Linked DNA regions of Lonchura striata. The main gene of each other region encodes a partner of the protein of the gene in region 3 in a complex. Links are inferred from orthologs where the notes say so. Each region holds a gene or a part of one and is shown on either strand. Other genes may lie near its edges.

Evidence for each region. The genes of interacting proteins can lie anywhere in the genome.
Region 1: RBBP7 (region 3) and HAT1 share a complex: the UniProt entries of both Homo sapiens proteins name them as parts of the type B histone acetyltransferase (HAT) complex. The link is inferred for Lonchura striata from reciprocal best matches to the Homo sapiens genes RBBP7 and HAT1.
Region 2: RBBP7 (region 3) and CDK2AP1 share a complex: the UniProt entries of both Homo sapiens proteins name them as parts of the nucleosome remodeling and deacetylase (NuRD) repressor complex. The link is inferred for Lonchura striata from reciprocal best matches to the Homo sapiens genes RBBP7 and CDK2AP1.

The regions. Positions count from the first base shown.
Region 1 is NC_134610.1:20,438,934-20,446,551, reverse strand, and holds the start of HAT1 (histone acetyltransferase type B catalytic subunit), read right to left. Parts: upstream 3,011-7,618; 5' UTR 2,926-3,010; coding exon 2,919-2,925; intron 1,970-2,918; coding exon 1,898-1,969; intron 1,583-1,897; coding exon 1,507-1,582; intron 1-1,506. Other genes in the region: SLC25A12 (electrogenic aspartate/glutamate antiporter SLC25A12, mitochondrial), read left to right, coding at 4,938-4,949, 5,371-5,424. UniProt on the Homo sapiens protein: Histone acetyltransferase that plays a role in different biological processes including cell cycle progression, glucose metabolism, histone production or DNA damage repair. Coordinates histone production and acetylation via H4 promoter binding.
Region 2 is NC_134620.1:13,009,575-13,016,578, reverse strand, and holds the start of CDK2AP1 (cyclin-dependent kinase 2-associated protein 1), read left to right. Parts: upstream 1-3,994; 5' UTR 3,995-4,092; coding exon 4,093-4,300; intron 4,301-6,578; exon of another isoform or gene 6,579-6,621; coding exon of another isoform or gene 6,622-6,700; intron 6,701-7,004. UniProt on the Homo sapiens protein: Inhibitor of cyclin-dependent kinase CDK2. Also acts as a component of the histone deacetylase NuRD complex which participates in the remodeling of chromatin.
Region 3 is NC_134604.1:100,704,594-100,712,286, forward strand, and holds the start of RBBP7 (histone-binding protein RBBP7), read right to left. Parts: upstream 3,015-7,693; 5' UTR 2,855-3,014; coding exon 2,839-2,854; intron 2,589-2,838; coding exon 2,444-2,588; intron 658-2,443; coding exon 515-657; intron 63-514; coding exon 1-62. UniProt on the Homo sapiens protein: Core histone-binding subunit that may target chromatin remodeling factors, histone acetyltransferases and histone deacetylases to their histone substrates in a manner that is regulated by nucleosomal DNA.

The DNA of each region.
Region 1 (7,618 bases), on a different chromosome or scaffold from region 3:
GAGGTAATGCCTTACACTGCTTCTATTATTTCGCTCCTCTAGAGGAAATACTCTGAGCTCAGTAAGGCAGTGCCTGTGTCCTTACTGTGACAGGAAAGAATACAGCTCATACTGTGTTTATGCTTTTTCAACAGCTTTAACTCATTAACAGTTATTTACATTAATTGATTGCTAATATTTATTAAAAATTATTTTGCAGTGTAGTATAATATTTTGGAGTAAACGACTGCAATCTATAATGTACAAAGCACAGATAACCAGGTGTAGCAATTTGTGAAGTTTTTGGTTGACAGTTTCTATTTAGTTATCCAATCTAACCAGAAATTAGTACCTGCAAAAAGAAGTATAGAATACAAAAGCCTTTTTTACAGTTTGAAAATACGAGCTGCCTGAACACAAATTCGATACTCTTATGAAGAATAGAGAATTTCTTTTCTGGAAAACACATGCAGAAAATAGTAATGTTCACAAAGAAACAGGCCAATTTTTTTTGTTGTTGTTGTTGAAGCATAGCTGAAACTTTTTTTTTACTGGGATTTTTCTTTTATGGTAGTACATTCATAATTTAAAATTTGAAATGTTAAGTGCCAGAAGAATTTCCTTCTTAGCTAAATTAACAGATTGGAGAATTCTCTGATTACTAAAATTATAATTATTGTCAATGATGCTATTGGTATAACAAATTTATTACATTTAATACAGGTATTTCATTCTAATTGAAGTACTTAAGAATGCTTTCAAAAGGAAATTGAAATTAAGAAACACAACTACTTGAAGTCCACAGAAACATACAGGTGGATTCTCTTTAGGTTTGTTTCGGGGTTTTTTGTTTGTTTTTTTTTGTTTGTTTGTTTTGGGTTTTTTTTAAATCTATGGCCAGATTGTTGAATATCACTCTACTGAAAATAATAGATGACACTTCAGCACTAATTAATTCAGCATGCTCAAAATAAAAGAAACAATACTTTTTCACCTACACTTTAGGGAAGACTTTGATATCAGCATTCCTCTGGAGAAACTGGCTGCTCATGGCCTGAACAGGGGCATTCTTCACTGTCTGGATGGCCATGCCCAAGGAGTGGTGGGGAATGGAGTCAAATGCACCCGACAGCTGTTCCCCTGTGGTGTTCCCCAGGGCTCAGTGACAGTCCCATTTAATGTCTTATCAGTGATCTGAATGCTCCCTAAGTCAGCTGCAGTCAACACTAGGCTGGACAGGAGTGCTGAACTGCTGGACTTGGGTCACAAGTGACAGACTTGGGGAAGAACAGAGCAAAGGAGCTGGGGGTGCAGGTCGACACTTGACTGAACACGAGTGAGCCAGCGTGTGCCCAGGTGCACGAAGGCCAGAGGCGTCCTATCCTGTGCCAGTAAATGTAGCAGCAGCACCAGGCCAGCACTTCTTATCTTGCACTCCATATTAGCAAAATGTTATGGTTTTTAATTATTTGGAAACAAATTTGTCCTTTGGGACCTATTAGTTTAAATCTGGAAACTTTGACTTACTCATCTCCAAACACTTGATGGCTGTACTCTGGATTAAATGTTGTGTTCTCATCCTCCAAATCCTCAGGAAAGCGAACTGAGAAAATAAAAAGAAGAGAGCATGACCAAGTCACCACCTTTCATCTGTTTATCCACAGAAGCCCTGCGAGCTGTTCACACACCTTTCCACTAGAGTCAGACAACTTTAGTTAAGAAACTATGTGAGAGTGGCATACAAATGATATCAAGGCATCCTATACAATTTGGATTCATGTTACTTGACCTATGAGTATCAAATCAGTAATCAGACTAGGACTGAGAAACTGACACAGATGTATACATGTATCTATTTCACAGAAAGACACCAGAATACTTCAGTATCACTTGTATAATATTTAAAAAGTGGTATTACCTAGCTTCAGCTGAATCGCCTCATTTGTATTACACTTGTATTCAGCCAGCTTCTTCTCCATAGCAGTAAGTCCTGAAAAAAAAGAGATTTTTTTAAGAGGTGTCCAATCTCTTTGTCATTATTACTCAAAAAATATATTAGAAAAAGGGTCATAAACCAAGAAAAAACACTTAACACGAGACCACCAAACAAGAAAGATTAAAACAGCTACAACATGCCACAACACATCAATACAGAGGATAAAGAGAGCTGTCTCACACACTCTTCTGGAATTAGAAAACATACAAGTATCTCATTTTAGTTTCTGAGAATTAAAGTCATTACCATAAAAATATTAAGTATTCTAAGTTACTACAAATTAAATATATATTTCATATGTGCTACTTATAACATGCAATACTGAATAAGAATTCAGTATAACATGTTATAAATAACACGTGTCAACACACTTCAAGTGTTTGCATTAAGTCAGTTTCATAAACTGCTATTAATGAACTACAGTGGCATGTACACCACTAGCAATTATTTAACCAGCACTACTCTTCCGGAACGGATGTGGAAGAAAAACGCAAATAAATGCACTGTATTTCATGTGATTTCCAAAGCCTAATCTAGGCCAGAAGACACGTTTCACCTCAGGTATGTTCCAAGTGCTTCACAAACATAACCCCCGCTTCATTTCAAAGGGCCATAAGAAAGTTCTTCTGCATCTTACTTCAGGCAGCAAACTTTAAGTAAAAACACTTTCGGGTTTTTAGCTCTTTGCCCACCGCCAGCACACTCGTGGCCACGGACACACTCTCTGGTCTAACACTACCAGACCGTGGGGGCCATAAGCCCGCAGACACGCAGGAGCAGGACCATGGCAGTCAGGCGGCAGAGAGGCAGAGGGGCAGAGGGGCTCCCCTCCTTCACAGCCTGTTCCCGTCCGCCCGCATCCGCCGGCTCCGAGCTTAAGCTCTCCTGCCCGTGCCGGCGAGGCTGGGACCGGCCCCGCTGCCGCTCCCGGGCCGGGACTCACCCGCCATGGCCGAGCCCCGCGCCGCGACTCAACCCGCGCGCCCGCCCGCCGGAAATGAGAGCGCGCGCAGGCGCTTCCGCTTCCGCCCGCCGAAACCCGGCGTGGAGCCAATAGCTGCCCCGCGCGGCGCGCGCAGCCTGCGCGCATGCCCGGCACCGCCTCGAGCCTCGCGCTGGCTCGCGTGACCGGCCCCGCCCCGCCCCGCCCACCCCAGACCGCGGGCCGGCCGGCGCGCGTGCGCAGAGCTGCTCGCGCCTCTGTCACGTGCGGCGGCTCCGCGCGCGTCGCGGACCCTGCGGCTGCCGGCTCCTTCCTCACTCTCAGACCTCGCTGCTCATTGCTGCAGTTACGCTTTGGCCGAGCAAACAGCCGGAGCTCTGTCATTAGTAAAAAAATAAAACTCTCTATATTGAACTGCTTGTTGCAGCTATTGTGGGATTTCTGCCGTTTTCTTTCAGAGACCTGGCTTTTGATGCACAGTGGGAGTTGCTGTGCTGGTTTGGACAGGGGTAGAATTACTTTTCACACTGGCTTGTGTGGGGGTGGTGGGTTCAATCTTTGAGGGTCCCTTCCAACTCAGCTTATTCCGTGTTTTCTGGGATTTGTGCTGAACAGATATTTTTGTTATTGCTGAGCAGGGCGTACATGGAGCCAGTACTGCCATGGTGGTAAGGATGTTGGGGCTGAATGAAAGGTTGGAAGAGACACAGCTGGGACAGGTGTCCCTAAGTGACAAAGAGATATTTTTGACCAGATGGCATCCTGCACAGTCTATAAAGTGAGGAGAAGAAGGGAGAGGATGTTTGGGGCGATGATGTTTGTCTTCCCAGGTAACTACTACTGGTGATGAAGCTCTGCCATCCTGCAGATGGCTGAACACCTTCCTACCCATGGGAAGCAGTGAATTAATTCCTGATTTTACTTCGCTTGTCTGCCTAGCTTTTGCTTTTCCTATTAAACTGCTTGTCTCTCAACCTATGAGTTTTCTACTTTTTACCCTTCCAATTCTCTCGCCAGTCCTGCTGGTGGGGGAACAAGTGAGTGAGTGTGTGGGGCTTGGCTGCTGGCTAGGGTAAACCATAACACCCTGCAGCTAAGCATGTACACATATGGCTTTATTGAACAACATACTTGGGTGGTCAGATGCTTACCAAATAGGCAAGATTTCTAGCAAAACTTCTGCTGTCAGCTGGGACATAGGCATATATGTAGTATATGAACTCTTAAGAAAACCTTTTTTTTGACATGTAATTAAAATGTTGTTTACCAGAGGAAAGTTGTTTTAAACTTGAGTCACTGTTTTCTGACCACCATTGTAAGCTACCAGTTACTGTATTTAGTTTAATATCTCTCTGTGCTATTTGAGGAGTACCAGAATCTACCTTTTTCCAGTGCCATCTAATAAAAGACAATTTGTTGTGCCCTTGAAATAGCACAGCAAGACATAGTATGAAGTATTATTTAAATCAGGTTTTATAAGCACCATGATTGAACTGCTGGAATAAGGTATAAACCTTCCCTTTCTTAAGACTTCGGCCTGCATGCTTTTTATTTTTAAGTATAAAGCATATGTGTGCTCTGCTGATAAAGGATTATAAGACCTTGTAAGAAGTTAGTGAATTCAGCCGGATTTTGGGCCTCTAGCTCTATGTTTGAAATAGAGAGCTACAACCGACTTGCAGCCAAGCTGCCAGAACACCAGCCTATGAACAATTTCGGTACCTGAAACCAACAGGTACACGCACACCTCTGCTGACCCTCAGGGACACGGCTGCATGTGTTGCGCCACAAGGAGACTCGGCAGCATTCAGAGGCCCCGTTTTGCACTGTGGAGGCGCTACCAGGCTCCCGCTCCGCGCACCCACAGGCGGGGCGGGGCGGGGCGGGGCGGGGCGGGGCGGGGCGGGGCGGGGCGGGGCGGGGCAGGGCGCTCTCCCCACAGCGCCGCGCTGAGGCGGCGGTGCTGCGGCGGCGCGGCGGGCGGCGGGCGGCTGGCTCCTCCTCCTCGGCGGGCGCAGCATGGCGGTCAAGGTGACTCTCCCGCTCCGCCGCTGGTGGCAGGAGGAGCCGGGCGGATCCCGCGTGGGGCCGGGGGCAGGCGGGCGGCGGGATTCCCGCGGGGGCCGGGGAACGGTGATGGCGGGGCGGCCCCGGGGGAGCGGCGGCGCACCGCCCGCCGGAGTGCCCCGGGGGGCGCGGGCCGGGGTCCCGGGGCAGCGGCGGCGGTCGTGCTGCGGGGCCGGGCGCCGCTCGCAGCCAGCGCCGTGCTGAGAGCTGCCAGCGGCGCGGAGCCCCGTGCCGTGCCTCGGCGGCGCGGCGCGGTCGCGGCTGAGGTTGGGCCTGTGGGTCTGACGAGGGACGCCGTGTTGCCGCCTTCGGCCGGCGCGGCGGGTTGCTCTGCGATCTGACAGCAGCCCGCCTAAGCGAAGCATTCATTTGCTTGTGTTTACAGGTGCATTCAACCAAAAGAGCGGATCCCGCTGAACTACGGAATATTTTTTTGCAGGTAAAAAGATCTAATGTTGTTTGAGTGTCGGACTTCGGTGTTTTGCTCTTTCAGCAGTTTACCGTGGCATCAGACTCGTGTCGTGCTGGTGGCACACTTATAAGTTCACTTTGCAGGCGTAGTGTATTGACGGGGTGTCAGGCATTGAGGAGAACCTGCTGCTGGCAAAAAGTGTGATAACCATTTCCAAATTACCATATTAAATAAGCTCCTGAACTATTTTCTAATTTTCTATAAAGCATATAATTATAATGAAGTGCTGTTTTTTTTTTAAATGCACCTTTGCAGAATCAAAAAAATTTTTCTTCCACGACTGTATGTTTTGTCCTTGGGATTTATATATGTTCATGCAAATGGTTGGACCACTAGGAGTGTTTTTAGAACTTAAAATTGATTTCTCATTATTAATATGTCTTGCAATATTATCCCTTGCAGGGCCTTAGAATTAGCATACATAAATAATAGCATGAAGGTTTCTCCATTCCCTTAGTTTCACTAAAGTGCGATCAGAAAGGAAAAAAATCAGAAACTTTAGGATATTGATCCAGTCAATCCTAAAACTTTAACGATAAAGTTTGAATCAGTCATATGGAATAATAAGAAGAACAAGAACTATGTTTTAGGTCCATAATAGGGCCACCAATATTTCAAAATGACTAAAATATGTTTTTTTCCCTAATGTTGAGTGTTACACAGCATATTTAGGAAGCTTTTCTCTATTTAAAAATTTAGGACTATAAAATTAGAGTTAATACTGTAAATAATAAAGTCTGTTATTTAACTATTTATATGTATCTTCTGGTTCTACTATACCATCTAGCAATTTCCGTATATGATAAGTAGTCAGAGAGAGCTTTTTGCCTGAGAGAGAGGAGTTGCATCCCAGCCGTAATTTTGGTGGCCTTTTCTTTTGCATACTGGATTACACTATGACATTGCTGGAGTGCAAATACTTAGAATGCTGGCATCAAACTGTGGAAGCTCAACATTTAGTTTCTAGTAAAAGATACTCCAACACAGGTTCATTTTTGATTGACATGGCATTCAGCTTTTGTAGGTAAAGATTACACTAGAGTATGTTACTAAAATTAGTGACATAAAAGTATTATCTTTTAAAATATATATTAATACAGTATAAAAATGTGATTCTAGAACGTGTTTTTCCACCTTTTCGCAAAATACTTTTGCACATTTGAATGAAAAACAGTAAAATGAGGTGTCAAAACATTATTCAGTTGTAAATGTGAATTCTTTATGATTCTTGACATCCAGTCAGTAGAAGTTCTTGCTTCTGGAAATAGGGAAATTAAGTTCTTGATAGTGGTCATACAGACAACAGCAGAGAGGAAGAACATTGTATCACTGGCTGGTGTTTTATTGACCTAAAACCAGACAGTTTGTTTAAAAATAAAAGGCTTCCCCCATGGCTGTCTTGTTTTCTTCAAAGAAACATGCAAATGAAGTTGTGAATTGTTTGATATTCTGAGAAATGAAAAATAAGAAGCTCTCCTCTCTCTCTTTGAGTATGTGAGATTTTGCAGTAAAAAAAAGGCATAGAAAAAAGAGTTTGTATTTCTTCTATGTTTTGTTGAGTTTGAAATTGTGGGTTTTTTTTATGCTTAGAAATCAAACTTACTTGCAGACTTTAAAACAAAGGAGAATCATTCTTTTCAAGACTGAGTTGCAGAAAGTCTTGTTATGAAATATTGCAAGTGTTTAGGGGTCAGATATGTTGTACTCCTTGCTGAGAGTGCTGGTCTCTTCTTTGAACTTCAGCTAAAGGTCGTGCATTCCTTCCTAAATTTGGCTTCCCTTGGAAATGGTTAGAAGGGAAGATGTGAGCTCTAGGCCTCGTCACCATCCACCTTAATCATAGAGAGTCTCCTTAGATTTCCTTCTGTTCATGCACGTCTTCTAATGGGATACGTGCCCTCTCGCCGTGCAGTGTACCTTGTATCTTAAAGGACATTGAGTATATACCTTTCTCTTCAGAATTTTTGAGGTGTGCTATCTGCTTCTTCTAATTGTTTTAAACTGTTAAAAAGATAAAGTTTGATTTGCATTAAAAAGATGTGCTATTTCTCTTAATCCTTTAACTATGAAATGCAGGCACTGAAATTTCATGTCTGTGCACCATCAAATAAGTTACCTTTTAGGTGTTTGCTAACCATAGACTTGAGTAAGAAACATAAAA
Region 2 (7,004 bases), on a different chromosome or scaffold from region 3:
GGGTGGAGCTGGGAACATGTATTTTTATTCAGGATTAGATTGGTTTTGTGCATTTTGGTGAGGATGGGGCAGCAGGCAGCAAATATCAGCCAGAAAAGGCAGATCACAGAGGAGGGACTCCGAGGGCTGACAGCTTTCTCTTGGGAACAAAAAAAGCACGAGGGAAACTTAGTAGCATCAGCAGGAAGCAGTTGTGGGGAACAGAGACAGGAATGGAAGGAGCTGTAGCAAAGCGATAAGAAAGGAACAGCACTGATGCCAAAAAAAGCATAAAATGCACAATTTTCCTTCTGTGCCAGGGTCCCAGACTGCCCCAGGGGCTTGCTGGGTGTCCTGGGGAAGGAAGGGTTCTGCACCAGGAGCTGCTGGCTCATTACAATCCCAGTGAGAAAGGTACTCAGCTCTGCAAAGCATCTTTGAAAATGCTGTTTGTTAAAGCTGACACTCACATGCCTCTATCACGCTTTCCACAGAGGTTAAACCTTGCCTTCACTCAAGACTTAAAAAGCTTAATTTTCAGTCTAGGCCTACCAGAGGCTTTTCATTTTGTGTAGCACCTGATCGGTTTGGAGACTCAAAGATTAAACTGGTGCTCATCAACTTGAAGCTGCATCTGTGGTTATTTTATGTACGAGGCTGGATCACCAGAAATGTGAGGATAAGCATTTGAATATAAACTCCCTCTAGGAAAAGGAACAAACTTCCCACTTCTTTCCCCTTGGTGCTACATGGGGCTCTGTGGTGGGTAAAGGACAGTTAGAATATCCCCAAGTCACTCAATTAATTAAGCCTGATAACAATTAATTACATTAAAATTAATGCGCAAATTTAATGTTTTACACATGTCAAAGACATGCCAGGAAAAAAAGAGGGTCTTACTGTGCCATCTTTAATTCTTTTCATTGTTGGTTTAACCCAAGGTGATAAGGAACAAGCCTAGTTTGTGCTCCTCATTTGCAGGTCCCCATGAGTGTTACAGCACGGCTCTGTGATGACTATTTCGTTTTGTTTCCAGATAAAAGGGGACAAACAAGTTTGTTTCACAGCATGGCCCACGGCCCTGTGGCAGAGCTGCCAGCACCTTCCAACATCCCACTTTGCATGTGTATTCCTTACACCCTCGCCCAGGGCCATGGCACCGACCCACAGAGCTTTGGAAAGGGAAAACCTCCTTCAAATCAGTCACAGCGCTGCCTAAGCAGGGGCTGGAGGCAAACTCTGTGGAAATATTGGCTGCTCAGTATTCCCAGTGGTTTGGGAGGAGCAGAGGTGAGGAAGTCAAACCAGGAGAGGGAAAAGAGAAAATAAAATACCAAGAGAAGAAAGGGGAGGGGAACAGAGTGAATGTTGCAGATATTGCACAACTCAGAAGAGGCAGCTGTACCTGGAAAATACATCATCAGTGCTTCTTGTAGTGGCTGAAGAGACAGGCACACATTCCTGTCCATCCTCTCTTGTGGGAAAACAGCAGTTCACACGTTTATTTTTAAGTTGCATTTTAGCGTGCAGCAGGCTTGCAAATGTCACCTGTGTGATAAAATGGCTCTGCTGTGTTTCCTGCTCTGTGACTTGGCCACTTGGTGATGAAGAGCTGCTTTTGCTGTCAGCGAACACCACCGAGCCATCAGGCTGCAGAGCAGGGACCTGCAGCTTGCTGCACACAGCCTGGGAGCTGGAGCTGCCACACTCGAGGCACAGTTTGCATGTGCAGAGCACAACTCCAGCGGTGCAGCCCAGCTTGGGCCATCAAACAAGGTGAAACCGCCCCTCCAAGGGAGCTCGACTCTGTGGTCACCCTGCTGAGCAGCCAGCCCAGGGCCCGAGCACGACAGTGGTTTTGTTCTTGTGGCCACACCTGGTTCAGAACAACTGCAGTGAGCCCTCAGAGCACACGGCAGATGGGAAGAACTTGCAGGTACTTCCTACCCTGCAGTGAGTGCCAAAAAAATAGAGTAAATTAATCTTAAATAGAGTCTGAGGCCGAGCAGTAAGTTTGTCCTTTATCAGGGTCTTGTGTCTTGTGCCACCACTGCTACCTGTGCCCAGAAAACTGCAGAGCAAACATCAGATACCCAGATCTGACACTGCTGGGCTCCTGCTTACAGGACAAATGATGCTGCCCTGCATGCCTGAGCATCTCAGCAAGCCTGGCCCTCACACCTTGCTCCAAAGATCACAGTGCCTTGTGCTGAAGGAAGAATAATCTTTACAGGACTTTTTCCACATCACCCTGCCTCCCCCTTGGAATATTGTAAATTTTGGAGCTGTCTTTATAAAACGCAAGCAAAACACAGGGGATCTTGTTCTTCACAGTGTTGCTCTGAGCACAGTTTTGTAGAGTTGGTGTAAAGCCGTGAAAAACACGGCAAGCTCGGAGTGTTCCCATTTCTCACTCACTTGGTGTGACTGTAAACAACCACATGATGGAAAATCCCGGAGCGGTGTGCAGGACTTTGCTGGCCTTCCAGGATTCAACAGAAAGGCTGTTATTTACAAATCTGGAAGTGAAGCTTTAGGTTTGCAGAGTTCTCACTCACACGGTGAGGGTTTACCAGTGCAGTCTTTCAGGGCTCTAAGAAGAATTACACAGTTGTAATCACAAGCACCAATGTGAAACTACTGTCACTGAGCGTGTAATTCTGTGCCTGGGGCTCTCAGGACCCCTCTCTAATAGACCAGAGCATGGATCAGTTGTAAGGACAGTCAGTGCCAGTCTGGAATTCGCCAGGATCGCTGGAGTCAAGCATTTGGTCTGGAAATAAAATACAAAGGTATTTCATCTGGTACCAGTCAGAATTTTCAGATGTTTCTCTCATGCAGTGCACAGTCAGCAGGGCATGAGCCAGGGGCTCAAAGGCTGCTCCTCTTTTCCCATTCTCCCTCGATTCTCCTTTATGCAGAGGAAATAATCTGATTGCTCTGTGACTGTTTCCGTGTCTCTGTGACGGAGGTGTTACCTGCTTCCCTCTGCAGGGCCGTCCACTCTGGGCCTGAGTCAGTGTCACTGACGAGGAATGTGCCCCTGATTTCCAAAAGGCATGATCAGGCTCTCCGTGTCTGCTGTCACTGGCATTTAGAGCAGTATGAAGCCATGGATAGACATTAAGTAGCACATGAGGCAGCGCATGCAATAAAACTATCAGATCTCAGAGTGGCTGCTGGTAAAATATACATGGGGGTCTGATATGGGGGGGTCTCAGGCTGAGCTGTGCACCTAAGGAGAGAGAATGTCCAGATCCCAAGTAGTTTTGTTTGGATAAACCTGGAGTAACTGAACAATTTTCGAGTGTATTTGATATTAATTGACTGAAGGAGCAAACCTGAATATCTTGCAGTGAAAAGGATGAGTTCTGATGGCAGACGCATGCTGGAAAGCTTCGTCATTTAACCTGATTCTTTTAAAAATTTTGGTGGGGAAGTTTTACTGCTGCTAGCAAGCAGAAAATGTGCCGATTGTCAACGAGATCCATGTTCTTTTAGTCCCTCAGAAGCTGCAATCCACATTAACCTTCCACCTTCAAGCAGAAAGAACTAGTGGTTTGGAAAAAAAAAAAAAAAAAAAGAAATAATAAAAAGGGCAGGTTTTTTCTCGGCGGCATCTAGGGGGGTGGGTGAGAGAGAGAGAAAAAAAATTATTTAAAAATTATCAACAGGTATTTTCGAGGTTGGCGGGGGGATGAGCGCGGGGTGAACGCCCGCCCTGAGGTGAGGGGGAGGCGGGAAGGCGGCGGCGCGCGGGCCGCCCTGAGGGACGCCCGGGGCTGACAGCGGCCGCCGCCCGCCGCGGGCACAGCGCGGCCAAACCCGCAACTTGTGCCAAAACTTTCCGAAGTTAATTAAAACATCCCCCCCCCGCCGCCCCGCGCCGCCGCCGGGCTCCGCGCCGCCGCCGCCGCCCGCCCCGCTCCCTGCCGGCGGTCCCTGAGGGGAGCTCCATTGTCTGTGAGGGGATGGCCGCGCACCCCCGCCGCGCCCCCGCCCGCCGCGCCCCCGCCCTCCGCGCCGCCGTGCGCGGGGCGCCGGGCGGCCGCGGCGGGTGGCTGCCGGCTCTCCCCCAAAGTTTTTGGATCCGCGTCTCCTCATGATGTATGGATGATATATTGCATTGTGGGTGTCAATATAACTGACGGCCATATTTGCCGGTGCTGCTACTGCTGTAAACAACCCAAAGTGTCTGGGAGACACGGAGACGCTTCGCTGAATTTCAGGACGCTTCTCCTCCTCCCGCTGGCCATGTCTCTGGGAATGTCTTACAAGCCCAACTTGAACGCCCACATCCCCGGGACTCCCCTCAACCCGGGTAAGTGCGCGGCGGCAACTGGGTGGCAAGTTTGGGAGGCGAGCGGCGGGTGCCGCACCGGCACCTGGGGGAAGCCCCGGACTCGAGTTTGTGCCCAGTCCGGTATGGCGGGGCAGCGGCTCCGCGCCGCCATTACCGCGCCCGCCCGCCCGCCGGCCGGCGCCGCCAGCCCCGCTCCGCGCCGCCCCCGCGCCGGGCTCCGCGCCCGCCCGGCCCCGCGCAGCGCCGCCGCCGCTCCGGGGCTCCGGCCGCCGGGTTTCCTCCATGCTCGGCTCCCCGGGGCGGCTGATTGATCTGGATCAGGAATATTCCGGCGGCGCCTCAGCGAGGACCGCTGCTGGCGGGACGCCGCAAGTGCGGCCGCTCGCCCCGCGCCTCGCCTCGCGCCTCCTCCGGCGGCGGGGCCGCCCCGGGCCGCGCTCCGCGGGCCGCGGGGAGCCGCGGAGCCCCGACCTCCGCCGGCGCCTCGGGGCGACCCTCGGTCAGCGCTGCCCCGTCGGAGCCTCCCCCGCATCCCGAGCGGAAGAGCCCTCTCCGCTCGCTGGAGACTTTTGGGGATGGGGGGGCACACAGGGATTGCACTATTTCTTAAAAAACTCCTGTTTAAAAATCGCTCCTCATCCTTGGATTTGTACAGGAGTCCTGCCAACTTTCCTCTTTAAAAAGTTTCCTTGACAGCGTTAACTTTTTGCCTTTTTTCTTTTTTCTTCCTTTTTAAACTACGTTGCCCCGTTTTTCTCCTCCCGATTTCCGAAGGCATCAGCCGGCGGGTTTTTGCCGGTGCTGTGGTGCTGCTGTGCATCGGGTCTCCGTGTGCGAATCGGTGCAGCCTGAACAAAGCCGCAGCAGCAATTGCTTCGCTGTGGGATATTTGGAGGGGATCTCGCTAATCTGTGCTCGTCGGCTCCGATTAAACCGCACCAAAATGGAGAAGTTGGTTCTGACTTTAAAAATTCGTATTCGTCTCCCATGCCCGCAGCCCAGCCTGCAGGACTGGCATCAATCAGACAGCCACAAATCAGACTGATTTTTTTTTTTTTTTTTTTCCCTGAGAAAAAGTTTTGGAGTTAGGTTTAGGAGGGAGGGAAATGTGTCTGTGTGATTTTTACGGCACCGTTAGCGGTTGTGATCCTGGGAAGCTGAGGAGCGAAAGGGATCTCCGGGATGCATCTCTGTTCTAGCTACCAGGAGAGCAGCAATCGTATTTTACTGCAAGGACTCGTCACCAGCTGGTGGATGAGCCGATGTGGCTGTGCCACCTCGATCCTGCATGGAGCTGAGCTCGGTGGGGCTGCGAGGGTGCAAAGCTCGGGGAGCCGGGGTCGTGTGTGGGGAGCACCGTGGGGCTCGAGTGCTGCTCTGCGGAAGGGTCAGGGAGCAGGGGATGTGCCGAGGATTTCTGACAAAAAGCAGAAGTGTCACCGGAGGGGGGAAAAAAAATTAAAAAAAAGAAACAAAGCAAAGCCCAGCAAGGGAAACCGTTCTCCTGCCGGCTCCCACGAGAACCTGTGCCTTGCTCTCCGGAACAGCCGTAAAATTGCAGGGAAAACAAAGGTGGTATTTTGCGATGGTGGGTGAGGGGTGGGGATTAGGTCATGCAGTGGAGGGGATCCGAGTCTGGCTGCTCTGCGAGCAGGGACTGCAGAATCCCGGCTCAGACATGCCGCGCACAATGCGAGCCGAGCGGTGAAGTTTCTGTCTCCAGCCCTCTCGCTGCCGTGTCTGCGCTTTCCACCGCTCCGGCTTTGGATTCTTTCATGCAGTTTTATCTTCCCCTTCTCTCCCACCCTCCTTTTCCCCTTGTATCGGCAAGTTAGCAGCAGTTTGCTGTCATGCTGGAACTATTCTTGTCTAAGTTGTCCTCTCTTCTGAGTTCGGATCATCCTCAACACCCCCAGAATCTTTTCAATGAAAGAACGTCCTCCTCTGAATCCAAAATGGGCTCTCTCTTCCCTCCCTGTCTTCTGCCATTATCCTCACGCACCAGCTCTTCCTCTAGCTAGTGGTATTGCCAGCACCGTGGCCTAAGGCCAAGGGACTTAGACAAAGCAGTCCTTGCAGTTGCACATATCGCATTCAGAGTGATATGACTGCAAATGGCCCCCTCCTTTCTGGAGCTTAATTCTGATTTGGAGGAGATTGCCTCTCTATTGTGCCTAAATTAAATGCCCCCCAGCCAGGAGGATAAATCCTAGGTTTGCTTCCAAAATTGGGGTGGAGGACCCCCATCCCCTACCTCCCCCCCACAGCCCTGCAGAGGAGAGGAAAACAGGAAATCTGTCCCTTTTGGCCTGAAATCAGCCCTGCAGAAACCTCTCTATATGAATGCTGAATTTTTTGGGCTTGGCCGACGGAGGGCTCTGGGCAGCTGTGGATCTCACAGGGATTTTCCTCTGGGAGGTAATGCTGCTTCCCTGCAGTGCAGGGCTTCTGGTGGAGTATTTGGGAAGGCAGTGTCGACTCAGCTCTTGGAGCCGTGTCCTTGCTGCAGAGCAAACTCCTCTCAAGTTGAGGCTGAGAGTAGCCACTCTGCAAAATGATACTTAAACTGCACATCAGTGAGATGAAGCAGTTGTGGTTGGTGGGTGCCTGGGCTCTGTTCTTGCATGGGAGCATGTTTTGGGAATCCAATCCTGGACTGAAGTCCAGAGGGAGAGGAGCTGGATGTGGGGGAGGAAATACAGGGAGGAAACCTCCGTGGGTT
Region 3 (7,693 bases):
CTCATGGTTAATTTTAATCTCCATCTCAATTTTGCCAGTCACAGATCCGAAGCCACCATATTCTACAGTTGTCAGAAAAATGTCAGTTTATCCCATCCATTATTTTAAGACTACTGAAACAGCATTCCACAGCATCTTCCCTACTCTAAGAAACAGTGGTAGCACCTTATTAAACACAAGCAAAGACTAGGAAAGACTCACACCATGTAACACAATAGCTTTAACACTTCTGATATTTAGAATCTTCTTTCAGAGCTTTAGTTTTAACTTAAGGTAGATGTGTACCAGTTTTTACCACAACTGAGAGCTGGTAGAAATTCTAGTAGGAATTGCATATGAATGTTAACTAAGCTCTTCTGAAACAAAAAGTTTCTTATTTTTAGTTGTCTAGAATTAGTGTGGACTGGTATTTGTCCACTTTTGTATTTCACATAAACTTAGAATATCATTATTAGAACAATTGAAAGCAGTAATGATACTGCTCAAACAGAACCTAAGAATGCTGCATACCCACCTCCTTTCTCACTGTCAGACTTCAAAGCATCAAACTGATCATTGTTGGGAATCTGGACTCTGGCAACAACCAGGTGGTTCTGCTCATCAGAAGTGTGTGTTCCCAAAATCAGCCAGTGCAGAGCATAATCCTTTCCTTCTGGCCTGTTTAGAATAATAAATGTTGGAATAAAATTATGTGCTCAGTTCCAGAAGTTCTGTAGCTTGCATCAATAACTCTAAAGATGCAAACCTCTTCAGGGAGCTAGAAAAGAGACACTCCCCAAGAGATCCTCCCCTCTGCTGCAAAGACTTGTGTATTAAAGCAAACTGGACTCTGCCATGAGCAAACCAAAGACACAACCAGCAAGGCTCGAGTGACAATACAAGGCATTAACATTGCCACTGTGACTTGAAAGGCACAGTTAAGAGTCTGCACAGCAGTTAAAGGAGACACCAAGACCTACTTTGGTCTAATTTCCCTGGAGTCTCAGAGTATTGATTTAGGAAACAATCAATACTCCTTTCCATAAAACATAAATCCTGAAGAGACAAGTGACAACCTACTTTAGTTACTTCTATTAGGAGCTTTAACCAGCTATCTGAACTAGAACCAAATTTCTCTACTGGTGGTTGAATGCAACATTTAGTTAAAAGTGAACAGCTGGATGGATGGTGCCATTTATCTCTGAAAGGACAAATCTGAGCAGTAAAAACCAAGCAACCTCTGCATTCTTGAATGCAACAAACTAATTATGTTTCCCAAATCCAAACAACCCAGAATAATTTTGGTAATCATAAACTACCACAGGTATTACTACACCACTTCTAAATGTAGAGGGGAGGGAAAAAATACCAAACCACACAAGAAACACAATGCACATGCACTTACTTGCATCAGGAACAGGTGTCCCATCATGTCAGATGCCATACAAAGAGGCAGTCCTTGCCTTAAATTGCTTACATATTTTGACAGTGGATAATTGGAAATACCAGGTTTTAAACTGAATATTAAGCCAATCTGCAAAATACGAGGCAAGCAGAAGTGTTCCTCATAAGGGCTCCACACCCTCAAATCCCCACTGCATTTTCTCCACGCCATGACTATTTGGCTCATATCTCTCAACATCATCCCCAAACACTTTGGTACACCAAATGAAGTGATCACCTAACCAACATGTAAAACATCCCATATGTGAAGTGGAACTTTACAGAACAAAGAGACCATCTTCTGATAACTGCATTAAGCTTACACACAAGGTATTTTTAAATCAACCTAATTCCACATTACACCAGTCCTTGTCCACCACCTCAGTGGAACCCTGAGTTGTTACTGCAACAATTTAAGTTCTGTAGCAGTTGGCACATGAACAGATTCTATCCCCAGCTTCATTCTTCTTTAAGAAATGAAACTGAGACTACAATTTTTTCAGGGGTATGTGGAAGAATGGGAAATTTGAACATGTGAATTCAACAATGAACCAAGGACAAAACCAGGATGCAAAGAACAAGTTTTAGCATAGTCTCTTAAGTAAGTCCAGACTTAAAAGATATCAAGCTTATACTGCACTATTAATACTATACCTTGGACAGAACAGTATATATTAGTGCACATGCAGAAAATCAGTCTTTAAGAATGAGCTGATTTAATATATAGATTTCTCGATCATAATTAACACTAGAGGAACACAAGATCTCTTATTTAGAAATAAATTGAGAAAGATTTCTGTGTTCACATCTCACAACACCTTCTGCTAGGCTAATCTAGACTTCGGCAAAATATCAACTTGTAACCTTTTTCCTGCAAGCAAAATAAAGCGCTACGAGATAACAAAGAGAACTGTAACCCAAATTGCTCTCGTCTTGCATGGTTTTTATCCTCAAGGTACTCAGCACACACGGTTGACGGGAAAGGAGCCGAGCGCCTCCCCGGCACCTTCCCGTCTCTCACCTGCTGACATCAGGCAGCCACTGCACCGTGAGGCTGGGCCACTCCAGGGCGTGGGTCATCACCAGGTCGTACAAGAAGGGCGTGTTTTTCTTCCAGATCTTGTACTCCTCGCTGATGACACGCTCCTCCACCGTGTCCTCCAGCACTGCAGGAAGGGAAGGGATGAACTGAGGGTGGAGGGGGCCGGGGCTCTACCGGGGCGGGACAGGAGTGGGGGTCCCGCAGGGCCATCGGGGGCGGCCGGCGGGACGAAAACTGCAGCCGGCCATCCCCGCTGCCACCTCCCGCGGAAGCTGCTCGGGGAGGAATCCCGGAGCGCCCCAGCTCCGCCATCCCCGGGCTCACACACCCCACACCTCACCCGGCCGGGGACAGGGGAGGGAGGGGGCTCCTACCGTCCGTGCTCGCCATGTCGGGCGGGAGGCGGCGCCGGGAGGCAGCGCAGGGGGCAGGAAGAAACGGAGGAGACAGGAAAAGGGGAAAGCAGGGAGGGAGCGCGGGCAGGAGGGAGAACAGGGCGAGGTGCCGCGGGGACGGCCCCCGGCCCCCAAAAGGCTGCCGGGCCAGGCGGGGCCGGGAGAGGCGAGGCGGGGCCGGGAGAGGCGAGGCGGGGCCGGGGAAGGCGGGGCCGGGGAAGGCGAGGCGGGGCCGGGGAAGGCGAGGCGGGGCCGGGGATGGCGAGGCGGGGCCGGGAGAGGTGAGGCGGGGCCGGGAGAGGTGAGGCGGGGCCGGGAGAGGTGAGGCGGGGCCGGGGGAGGCGGGGCCGGGGATGGCGAGGCGGGGCCGGGGAAGGTGAGGCGGGGCCGGGGGAGGCGGGGCCGGGGATGGCGAGGCGGGGCCGGGGAAGGCGAGGCGGGGGAAGGTGAGGCGGGGCCGGGGAAGGTGAGGCGGGGCCGGGGAAGGCGAGGCGGGGCCGGGGAAGGCGAAGCGGGGCCGGGAGAGGCGGGGCCGGGGAAGGCGAGGCGGGGCCGGGGAAGGCGAAGCGGGGCCGGGAGAGGCGGGGCCGGGGAAGGCGAGGCGGGGCCGGGGATGGCGGAGGCGGGGCCGGGGAAGATGAGGCGGGGCCGGGAGAGGCGAGGCGGGGCCGGGGAAGGTGAGGCGGGGCCGGGGAAGGTGAGGCGGGGCCGGGGAAGATGAGGCGGGGCCGGGAGAGGCGAGGCGGGGCCGGGAGAGGCGAGGCGGGGCCGGGGAAGGTGAGGCGGGGCCGGGGAAGGTGAGGCGGGGCCGGGGAAGATGAGGCGGGGCCGGGAGAGGCGAGGCGGGGCCGGGAGAGGCGGGGCCGGGCCGGGGAAGGCGGGGCCGGGGAAGGCGGGGCGGGGCCGGGGAAGGCGGGGCGGGGCCGGGAGAGGCGGGGCCGGGCCGGGAGAGGCGAGGCGGGGCCGGGAGAGGCGAGGCGGGGCCGGGGAAGGCGGGGCGGGGCCGGGGGAGGCGAGGCGGGGCCGGGGAAGGCGAGGCGGGGCCGGGGAAGGCGAGGCGGGGCCGGGGAAGGCGAGGCGGGGCCGGGGAAGGCGAGGCGGGGCCGGGGAAGGCGAGGCGGGGCCGGGGAAGGCGAGGCGGGGCCGGGAGAGGCGGGGCCGGGGAAGGCGAGGCGGGGCCGGGGATGGTGAGGCGGGGCCGGGAGAGGCGGGGCCGGGAGAGGCGAGGCGGGGCCGGGGAAGGCGGGGCCGGGGAAGGCGGGGCCGGGGAAGGCGGGGCCGGGGAAGGCGGGGCCGGGGAAGGCGGGGCCGGGGAAGGCGGGGCCGGGGAAGGCGGGGCCGGGGAAGGCGGGGCCGGGGAAGGCGGAGGCGGCCGCGCTGCGCTGTGGCCGCGAGGTGGGGCTGCAGGTAAAGCAGCGCGCCCCCGGACACCTATTAAGTATGTTTTACCTAATGAGCCCTAAATCACATTGAGAACGTGGATATTGATCCCCCTTCGCAACTAGAAATTATAGAATTATTGAATGGTCGATTGGCTTAGGTTGGAAGGGACCTTAAAGATTAGCTCATTCCAACTACCCTGTTGGGCAGGGATACCTTCCGCTAAACCAGGTAAGTAAATCTGTAAGTAAGAATGGTTACAGTGGCCACAGCTGCATAGTTAGTTTTTTCAGCAATGGTTCTGAATATTGCCCCATTTACTAGAAGAAAGGCATGTTTGAACTATTTTTAATTGCAGTTTTGGCATGGAAGGCACTGAATTGCATTGCTGAACTGTCAGACACACAGGATCAGTTGGTGTTACCAGTGTTTTAAATTCTGTCACTCTCTAATGGGGTCAGTGGTGGTGTCTCATACCCTGGCAAGTGACATGGCTTTGTTTAAGTGGCTATGTACAGATCAAACATATGGCCCTGTCACCATCCAAATCAAACATACAGCCATACCACCCTGCCTGCCCAGCCTTGCTGATCTCTCCTTTCAGCTGTCAGTAAAAGATTGTGTAAGGCCAGTTGGATGGAGCTCTGAGCAACCTGGTCTAGTGGAAGGTGTCTGTGCCCTGGTCAGGGGCATTGTAACTATCCCTTCCAACTCAAACTATTCTATGATTCTATGATTTAATTTCTATGATTCTATGATTTAATTTTACTGCTTTCAATTCAGCTTAAATTAACAGTGCTTGCCTTAACCAGGGTAGATCTTTCTGGCAGCTAATAACACTTTCCAGAAAAACAATGGAAACAGAGGCAGTTAAGAATGAGGTTAGAGTCTCCCAAATGCCCTTAAAGATTCAAAAGAACTTTTTGTCTCCAAATAGCATGTGTTTTCTTGCCATGTTTTAAATTACAGTTCTAAAATGAATCCTTGCATCAGTGTTAAACTCACAGAGATGAATCCTGTATCACTAAGGCTTATATGCCTGGAGTCCCAGAAGGGAAAGAAATCAACTCTGTAGTGGAGCTCACTGTGCTCAGCTATAGATGGTGGGAGGAGAGAGAAGGAAACAGAAAAATAATAACTGGCATTTCAAAGAACACGCTTCATGGACTCAGCCTTCTAGAGTCTGGACACCAGTTTTTCAAACAAGGAATCCAGTTCTGGAAAATGTTTATGTCTAGCAAAGGCAGGAGACTCTGAGGCTCTTAATAAGCAGCCAAAGGTTGCAGCACGGGAATCAGGGAATAAGACTAAGGAATGCAGCCAGCTCCTCCAACTGGAAGCTTTCCCTAATAAACCATTGCTTTTCTGACCAGTGTGTTAAAAAATATAAATCTTTTGGTGAAGTTAAATAAGTATATCTTAATCTTCGCCGTAACCCACACAGATTGGAATTATACCTTTGCATGGCTTACTTGTTTAAAATGAGAATCCTGTTGAATTGCACGGAACCTGTACAGCAGTCAGCTCCATAGGAGTGCACGAGTTAACACAGACACAGAGCCTTCTCCTGCCAGATGTGGCACCAGCTTCCCTTTGGCACTGCTTACTTGATGCTTTGGTGTTTGCTGCCAAGAATGTGTCTACTCCTACGAAGTGCTGAGGCCTTCCTAAAACGTTTTCAGAATGAAGACTGAACCTTTCAGAGCCTGTGTGTTGTTACAGAGAGTTGATCACTTAAACTTCAGATAATGGATAAAGGAAATCTCTGTCAGGCTTCCTGGCTTTAAGTGCCCTCTGTTAGCTCCCCCAGAAGGGTGATTACGTGGCCCCTTGAAAGATGAAGCACGTGTAAGCATTTGGCTGTGATGCTCTTTGTGATTTTGCTGTAAACAGCAGTATTTGTGGCCACAGCTTACCTGGAGTATAATAGGGAAAATGTGAATTGCTTTTGAAATATGATGGATAAAATTGTTCAATTATGTCATGTAGGGCTTGGCTGAACTATAAGTGAAGAATTGCTCCCCAACCCTCCACAATTTTTTGCTGACTCTGTTTAGGATCTGGAAATCAAGTTTGATTGTAATAGGCTCCAGAACTAGTGCTAGCTTTGGTGAAAAAAAACCTGTTATATCTAGATGTCAGAATGGTTGGTAAGTGACCAGCGTAGTTCTCTTCTCCTTGTTAACAATTACACTTGCACACAACCACATTTTTTCTTTATTTAAATCTGTGCACCAAAAATCCTGTTATTAAGTGCTCTTCTCCTGTTGAGATTTATCATGGAAGAGATGATTTATAACACTACATCTATCAAAGACAGCACATCATCGGCTCTTATGTTGGTTATTTGCAATTCATTGGCATGGTCATATCTGTGGCCACACATCTAAAACATATCCTTTGATTCCCACACTTTGTAAGGAAAGCAATTACACAAAGCTGTTGTTCATCATTTGCAGTATGTGTAAAATGCACCATAAATTAGTTCTGAAGTGAAAGAGTGACTTGAATCATAAGCTTTATTTTTATTGAGCTATACTTCTTTCAAACCTAAGCATCAAATATTGCATCTTCATTTCAGTAAAAAACCATCTCCTGCATCCTCAATTGTATGTTCTGCTTCAAATTACAGGCATATTTATGAATAATTATATGCACTTGTTAGTTTTAGCTTAAAGACATTCTGCAAAGAATTAGCTGGCTTGCTGTTGCTTCTGTCTCTTATACATTATGCAGAAGTGATGGATGTTCTTAGCATAACTCAGCAAGTAGGTGTAGGTATTACTGTGAGTGACCATCTCAGTCATAAAATTGTGTAAAGCAAAGCAAGTTTGCACAAAAACTCAAAATTACCTATTGGAAACGTAAAATAGCAGCCTCAATAGTTATTATACTCTAACATGTTTGCTGTCATTGCATAGCCCCAGTAGCCTGTTTGGAATAATGCCTCATTTTCTTAAAACATGTAGATAAGAAAAGCACACTTCATTTTAATTCACTCAGAATTTCTTGAAATGTGACCATGTTTATTTTCCCCACTGGTCATCCAATATTTATTTTTATTTACCCAGCAATTATCATCTCCCCAGTATCAATCACACCTAGCCAATGTCCTGCTGTCACAAAAGATCTTGAGCTATAGCTGTGTCTTGGACATGTTCTCTGGGACATGCAGTTTGGGATTTGCCTAATGACAGCACGTCTCCAATAGTTCACTTCTAAATAGCTGTGATTGTGTTTTATCCTGATGGGCAACATCTGTGTGCTTCACAGCCATGTGCAATTGGCAGCTCTTGCTTTGCATTGAATAAAGTGCATTTATGGGAATGTCAGTACTTAGGAGAAAGCATGACTCACTGGGATTATATCCAGCATTGTAGACAAATATTCCTCTTGCACCTTCTAGGTGGCATTGCTCCCACCACGGGGATGCTGTAGTGGGAACTCATGAGCT